2 linked regions of the Caenorhabditis elegans genome follow. The protein of the gene in region 2 purifies or fractionates together with the protein of the main gene of each other region. This does not show direct contact. Each region holds a gene or a part of one and is shown on either strand. Other genes may lie near its edges.

Region 1 (4,216 bases), on a different chromosome or scaffold from region 2:
ACCGATTCAATAATAAAAGTTATAAATAAGAAAGAAATCGCAAGAAGTTGCATGTTGAAATGTTGATAATGAGATGGAGAAACAAAAAAACAAGACTAAATATTTGTACTCGTCAACTTTAATTTTGATTCGATTGAGGTCAATTGTGTAATTCAAGGTTACCCCAAGTGACGTCATCACTACGCATTTTGACTTGACAACGTGTCTAGAAGATCAACAACATAATAGTTTTGAAAGAAAAGAGAACAAAAATTTAAGTTTTACCGTATCTGCTTTTTGAAATGTAAAGCCATTTTGATGTTACTATTTTGGCCGAAACTCACTTGAAACTCACAGGTCTAGATTTAAAAAAATAGAAAACAATTCTGAATGAGAATATAATTAAAGTCTCCGAACAATAATGATAAATTTTTTAAATAAGTAACAAAAAATTATTGAAAATAAAACATAATTTTCGAATGTTCTAAAACTGACCCATTTGTTGTCAGTTTTACAGTTTTAAATTGTTTCAAAAAATCAAGAAATCAATTGCGCGTCTGAAACTAGCGAAAATGTATGGGTTTACATATAAAAATTTGTTTATTCATGTTTATACATTTTGGTCAGCTATTTATGGAACATAGTTCATATCAACAGAGACTCCACATGGGCCAGTAGTGGTTCCTTCCCATTGATGAATTGTTGGTCTGCTCCATCCTCCGAAAGGTGCGAACTTTGAGAAATCCTTAATTCCATCATAGGTTGCCCACCAGAGCATCAAACTAGATTGTCCATGATAATCCAATCCAACAATATCTTGCCAATTGTAATAGTTACTGTAGATTCCAACTTGTTGCTTGTAAGCTTGAGCTTCTCTGACCATTGCCTCGATGAATGCACGGTTACTGGCGTGATTAGCTGGCCAAGCGAGACGTTCAATGTCAAGCCAGAGAGTAGAGACATGAGTTCCTGCACTCTTCAAAGCATCAAGAGTTTCCTTAACTTGATTGGCAGCAGATGGGCAGTTAGATCTCAAGCATGGGAAGATGTATCCATCGACATCGGTGAGGCCAGCTGCAAAATTTGTAATTAGCTTGGTACTGAATGAAACTTGTAGAAAACTTCAGATGTTTTAATAAATTGGAATATTATCAGTTTGAATGTTCGAACCCGTACAATGCTTATAATTGACTTGGAATACTATAAAGCTCATCCTTATGATCTGATTATTCCAACTTAAAGTGATCATAAGGGCCCCCTTACGGTCTCAATATTCAGCTCAAAAGGATCATATGATTAGTTATGGTTGAAAAAATTTTCACCTAAAACTTTTCTTTTGGAAGTTTTTCCAAAATGTTTAATTTTTTAGAAAAGCATAATTGTGGTAGTCCCTACAAGTTTGAACATTCATATTACATTTTCAGTCGAACCATCACCTAAATTGGAATTTTCTGCTATTCTGGACAATAATACTTAGAAAGAAACTGTAATTTTTTTTTTCATTTTTTAGTTTCAAGAGGTAATATATTGTTTCACTCACTAGATGCATTGTATGTATACTTGTAAAACATATTAAAGAGCAAGATTAGTTTAAATTTTGAATTCTATATTCAACCTATTGACAAATATATTTGAATATTATTATTTTTCCATACTCTGTTTACAATCATGTGACAATGCATGCCCTGGTAAACTAGACAGTCAGAGGGGACAATGAATGGTTGTAAAACGTAACGAAAAGATATTTCATTGACCACTACATCTTGACTTTTGGGAATATGTGTATTTGAATTATTTGATGGCAGTTTTTAAACAAACAAAAAGAAATAAGAAAAAGAGATAAGATTTTGTTAGTTTAAGTATTTTCTTACAAATTTAATACTCATAACTTATACTAGGAAGTATGCACAGACCTATAAGTTAGAAGTGTGAGGCGAAGAATCGCGAGGGAAAGGAGAACCAAATTGCCAAGAATGGAAATTATTTTGAAAATGGTAAAAACCATTCCTTGATACCCATCTGAAATGCTCACCTGCTCTAGCATTCTTGACGTTTTGAATTCCAGTATGATCAAGAGTTCCAACAGAAGTAAAGACTCTTGGAATTACGAAAGAATATCCAGCCTTATGAATACATTGAAATGTAGCAGTAGACACTGGTTGAATGAAATCAATTCCATTTCTAGCTGCACTTGCAGCACCGATCAAAAGCAAAGCCGAGACGAAGAACTTCATGATTCTCTGAACTCCCCTGATTAAGCCTTCACACACTTCTTTTATACTTCCCAAATACCGGAGATTCTAATTTTATGACTTTGACGCAAGCGGAAAGATAAAATCAAAAACTTCATAAACCCTCTTCTCTTATCTTTTTTGTTTTATTCAGAGGCTGATGTAAAATATGAAACAAAATATGGAGAGCAACTACACTTTCGTCTCATTTTCGAAAATATTTCTCGGGGTTTCTCGACCGTTATCTCTCGTCGTTTTTCAATATTTGCAACAATGAGATCAAAAGAACTAAAATTGAAACCTTCGACCCTCCCGAGTACTGTATTATTTCTACAAGCTAATGGTCCCGGCAGCAGGCTTGTGCGTGGTTTGTTGGCGTTGCCTAAATTAACACTAAAGAAATTATCAATTTTTCAATCCAAACATTGTGAAATTCATTGTTTATCTGTAAATTTTTTGAAGTTTATACAGTTTATTGAAAATAACTTAATTAATCTGTTTGGAAGCGTGAAAAGCTGAGAAAACATAAGGTGCTTAAAGTTAGATGCTTGAAAACGTGATTATGTTCTTGATTTGTTCCCTGCTTCAGATCACAGGTCGGCTGTGACCTAGAAAGCTTTTGAGCTCATGACTTATTCTCTTTGACGGTACATCTTCCTAAAAAATACCGGGAATTGTATTAAAAGTCATTAGCCGATTTTCAGATGATTTCAAATATACCGAGTTTTCTGAAAACCCAACTCCCCAATGTGTTTTATTTTTCGATTAGCAATTTGAACTTCGCACATTAGACTACATTATCAACCTTTTTGCTTCGTCTATCATTATTTGATTGCACGTGATTTCTGCTACCGACGATGGCATCAAAATGTGATCAATTGACGAAATACTCCACAAAAATTGATAATAACGTACATGCCTCATTTGCGTACTGTATCATTCCTTAAGGAATTCCTCAATAATTATTGCAGAAATTATTATAAAAGTTGGAATAGACTTTCTAGTAGTTTCAAAATAAAAATTAGTCATCGAAAACTGAATTTCCTTATTAAATTTCAAGTAATTTTCGATGCTTTTCAGATTACTTTGAATTGCTCGGAGCAATTCTCAAACGTTATTAAAGGAATGAATAAATCATAATAATGAACGAATGTTGTTTACTGAAATATACACTTTATTATTAAAGCGCTAAAAAATTATTTATGGAATGTAGTTCATATCAACAGAGACTCCACACGGACCAGTAGTGGTGTCAGACCACTGATGAATTGTTGGCTTCGACCATCCTCCGAATGGAGCGTACTTTGAGAAATCCTTGACTCCATCGTATGCAGGCCACCAAAGCATCAAACTAGATTGTCCATGATAATCCAATCCAACAATATCTTGCCAATTGTAATAGTTACTGTAGATTCCAACTTGTTGTCCATAAGCCTTTGCTTCACTGACCATTGCTTCAATGAATGCACGGTTGCTAGCATGATCAGCTGGCCAATTGAGACGTTCAATATCAAGCCATAGAGTGGAGATCTTAGTTCCAGCAGCCTTAACTGCATCAAGAGACGCCTTAACTTGGTTAGCAGCAGATGCGCAAGTCGATTTTAGGCAAGGGAAGATGTATCCATCGACATCAGTGAGGCCAGCTGCAACAGTGTTTTAAAAATCAAACAACTTCTAGCTACACTGGGAGTCTACAGTAACCATTAAGCCTCTTTGAAAATTTAAACAGTATACCCGGAAGTTATCTTCATACTTTTGATTTCACTAATTTTGAAACTTTCGAATTCTCACGTTACCATTTGAAGCCTCATTTGAACTCACTGACCGTAATCTAATAGGAGTTTCGACTCTTGGCGTTAACAATAGTTTTGCATAATAGTTTTGCATTTTTGACAGATAATGTTTCTATTATAATTAAAATGAAGTTACCTTTCTATAGACATAATTTAAATATTTTTAGCTCGAAAATTTTAATATGTAATATTTCCTCTATTAGTCTTGCATCC
Region 2 (4,067 bases):
TGATGTTTCCAAAAACGTACTTCTTTGGAATTACATACAAATGAATGGCGTCAAAATTGAAATGCTCGCTCATGTCATATTTCCCATATTTGCTCTGATCGTCGGTTTTATATGTCTGACAGCTATTCTCAATCCATCAAAGGCATTGTCTAAATGTGTTGCCATTCTGCTGCTTGTCATTATTGTGCCAAATTTTATATTCCCAAAATATTCAGTTTTTATGAAAAGTGAGTTTTAGTTTGAAAAGTTTAAAATTTAAAAAAATCACATTATTTCAGCAGCAATAGAATCAGTGGAAATAAGTCAAGTAATGGATCGAAGTCTTTTTGGAAATGATATTGATATGATAAAATCAGAAACTCATAATCGAATGTCAAAGATTTTAATGTTATCAACAAATCATTGGCCATTGGGAGTATCTGATTTAACAAGTCTTCCAACTGATTTTGTTCTTATGATGCAGTATCTACTTATTGCATATTCTGTATTTTCATTATCCCTTTTTATTTTTTATGTCATTACTTTGTTTTGTTTTGTTCGTTTACTATCTGTTCAATGAACATATATTTTTCATACAATTTTTTGGGAGTACAAGTTCTGTGCATTATATTATAATAACCCTTTTCAAACAATTTGAATTTTGGAACAAAAGAAACAGAATTCGAATTAATCTTGACAAAAAAATATGTAATTCAAGTTTGTATGCAAATGTTAACAGAAAATATAAGAATAATTCAAATATTTATAAATCGAATACATATTGTACAATAGGCATTGAAGTTGCAATCACAAACACAATGTTTCGAGATTTACAATTTTGGAATTCCTCCGACGACTCCTCCCTCAATTCCGCACTCGTTAACTCCACGAATGATACGGAAATATCCGTTCTCTCCCCAATCCTCATTCCATGAGTTGGCACAGAGCCAATATGGTGTTCCATTATCAACTCCCCATCCGAGCATCTTTACGGCATGTCCTCCAAGACTGGCTCCAGCGGTATGAACGTAGACTCCTCCGGAGTAATGCTCAAAATCTTCGTAGACAGTGAATGCAACCTCAACTGGACCATGAGTCATGATTTCCTTTTGGATTTCAGCAGCCTTCTTTGAGACGGCGTATGCAGATTGTCCGAAGTGAAGATCTTGTTGGTAGGTGAGAGCATATCCAGCTTGGCAAGAGCGTTCGCATTTGTCAGTTGGGTACATGTTGGATGGGCATGGCTTGTAATGAGTTCCATTGACGTGATGTTCACATGGTGGATATGGGTATGGCTTGCATCCAGTCTTATCTTGATAAGATCCTCCGGTAACGTATCCCTTCTTAACATAGTGACGCCAGGCTTCAATTGGATATCCACCATTGCATCCATTTCCACAGACCATTCCACAGCAAGCATTGATATCGTCAGCAGAGATGGAAAGGATAGTTTTGGCATTTGACGCAATGCAAATACGATCAGAAATAGTTTCAGCAGCAGAGACAGCCCAGCACGATCCACAGGATGATTGATCACGGATCTTGGAGATGGATGGGCAGTTTGGCCATGCGGTACGGGAATCGAATGAGTCTGGAACAGCAGCATCCTCGACTTCTGGATGAGTCATCTCGAAAACCTGGAAACAATTTCATTAGGATAAATTAGTTTGAAAGAAATCTGTATTTTTTGGGAAGCGTTTTTCAAAATCTTTAAAATATTCAAATTTACTAACTCTGTACTCTTCTGGGATCTCGACCATCTTAGCTCCCATCAATTGCTTCTTAATGGTATCTGGGTAAGAGCTGAAGTATGATCCGAGCTCAGCCTTGAAGGAAGTCTGAACCTTGTTGACGTAATCAACAAGTTCCTGTCCACGAAGCATTTGAGCTTCAACTGGAATGGCATCTCCGTGCTTAACCTCAACATTGTAGGCGTTGACGGCGACAAGGCCGACAAGAAGAGCAGCAATTGCAGTTTTCTGAAATTGAAAAGTTTTTGAAACTGAAGTTAAACTTCAGGAAAATTAAGCCTTACCATTTTTCGATTGGCTGGAGAATTGGGAAATTCGACAGTCGACCAATTTATCAAGCGCTTACCAGGGGTTTTATAGTTTTTTCGTTTCAAGCGACTGATAACTTTTGAAGTTTGGCGTTTTCTCGAATATTGCTGATAAGAATTAGGCATTTCGCTACTAGCTCCGGTTTCATTTCGAAGTGAAAGGCCTGATTAGACACGTGCATGTTTGCGGGAGAATTCAAATTATTTGCTTAAACTTGGACTTTGAAAGCGAAAATTTGCAGGGTTAACGAGTTGTAGAGGTGATTAAAGAATATTATATTTTGTGCTCTCATAGTGTTATGCCTTTAAATATAATCCCTAGTAATAGACTGTTCCAATAATTCTTCGAACATTTTAATAGGTGTATTTTCGTACTATCCTGGTCATATCAACTTTCCAGCAGTACAATTTTAAACTGAAAATAGTTTCCTTACAATTATCAGCTCGTTTTTTCGGTTCCCGAAAAAAACATCCGTGTTTTAAGATAATGTGACGTCACACGCGACCATAATGCGAGATTGCATGGCATTGACGATCTGGATTAAAGTACATACCAGTCTATCAATTTTGTTTTAATTAATGTTTGATATTTAATTTAAAAACAAACATTCAAACAGATTTTGCTAGTTTGGCTCTGGTGTGTTAGCTGTTATACTAACTAGAATACATCGAGCTATTAACTTTGACCTGCTTAACTTGTCATATGACATGTTTATCATAAAGATGCATGTACGTCAATGTTTAGGTTATCACTATTCTTATCACAGGTTCGTAGAAGATCGATTCCAACTCCCACAAATCAAACAGACTACATTTCACTACAAAACACGAAATAGGGGCTACAAATGTCGTTTAAACTACTTTAGACACCTCAAATAAAACAAAAATAATCTGCCCCATGCCAGGCTCGAACTGGCGACCTTGGCATAACCTATAGACTATAAGTACCACGCGCTAACCGACTGCGCCAATGGGGCACGGCCCTAACGCATGAGAATTAGCCTTGACAAGTATACTGCTCTCCTCGGTCTCCTAGACTCTCTCCGTCTATGCTGTGTCTCTGTGGAGGGGTAAGGGATACACACATGAACCACTGTGTTGTGCGGTCTCTTGACCATTGCCTTACATAGAGGAAAAGGTGGGAGACCTAAAGAGCAACGAGCGGGGAGAGACGCAGACATTTGTATTTCAAGGGAAAGGGGGAGAGGTGAGCTAATGGATATTACGAATCGAAGATGAGATTATTAAAATAGGGGGCAACAGTGTACAGCTAACGGAAACTGGCACGGAAGTTGGAAGATGTTGGTAGTGGAAACACCTTATTCAGATTTTAGTCAGCATTTTCAAACATCTTCTAGCAGAAATCAACCCGCAAAATGTACGGATTGGTCATTGAAGGTGTTCGGTTTATGATACAGGAAAACTGGGGACCCCAAGTTCTTCTGCAGGTTTGACTTTTTCTAATTTTTAAATACCAACTTGAATGATCTTTCAAATTCCAAATGAAAGTTGAAAACATTTAACTTTTTAATGACTCCGTATCAATTATATATTGATGTGTAGGTGAGTAGCTATGCAGCCAATATAAAAAAGGCGCCCATTCAAATATTAAGCTTTAAACTTTATGACGTCATTAACCGGAAAAGACTTCTAGAACATTGCGATTTTTTCTCGATTTTTTTTCTAATTCGACGTAAAAATTATCTTTTAAAGAAAATTTATCTTTACATGTTCATAAGACCAAAAATATCAGAAAAAATTGTTATAAAACTTCCAAACTTTTGAGACAGCTGGCTAGCCAGTCTTTCGAAGCAACAATTTTAAAAAACAATTATGCCTAAATCAAAGAAACTTCAAAACTAAAAAATCATAATTTTAAATAACATACTTTTCGTTTCACAAGTTTGTTGAAATGAGTTTGATTTTCAAAGAAAAAACGAGACGTGATAAAATAGTAAAATTTGGCAGATTCTCTATATTAGTCATCACATTGAAAACGAATCTCGTGGCGAGACCCGCTTCGATAGAA

What was found.
Region 1: the proteins of cpr-9 (region 2) and lys-4 fractionate together in Caenorhabditis elegans (co-fractionation; one large-scale study listed by BioGRID). This does not show direct contact.

Annotation. Positions count from the first base shown.
Region 1 is NC_003282.8:11,620,886-11,625,101, forward strand, and holds lys-4 (LYSozyme), read right to left. Parts: upstream 2,290-4,216; 5' UTR 2,214-2,289; coding exon 2,012-2,213; intron 1,421-2,011; exon of another isoform or gene 1,400-1,420; intron 1,054-1,399; coding exon 611-1,053; 3' UTR 544-610; downstream 1-543. Other genes in the region: dsl-5 (Delta-like protein), read right to left, coding at 3-53; lys-5 (Lysozyme-like protein 5), read right to left, coding at 3,411-3,853.
Region 2 is NC_003283.11:12,001,124-12,005,190, reverse strand, and holds cpr-9 (Peptidase C1A papain C-terminal domain-containing protein), read right to left. Parts: upstream 2,139-4,067; 5' UTR 2,018-2,138; coding exon 2,015-2,017; intron 1,959-2,014; coding exon 1,713-1,958; intron 1,617-1,712; coding exon 810-1,616; 3' UTR 607-809; downstream 1-606. Other genes in the region: F57F5.3 (ABC transmembrane type-1 domain-containing protein), read left to right, coding at 1-227, 279-559; gcy-33 (guanylate cyclase), read left to right, coding at 3,415-3,486.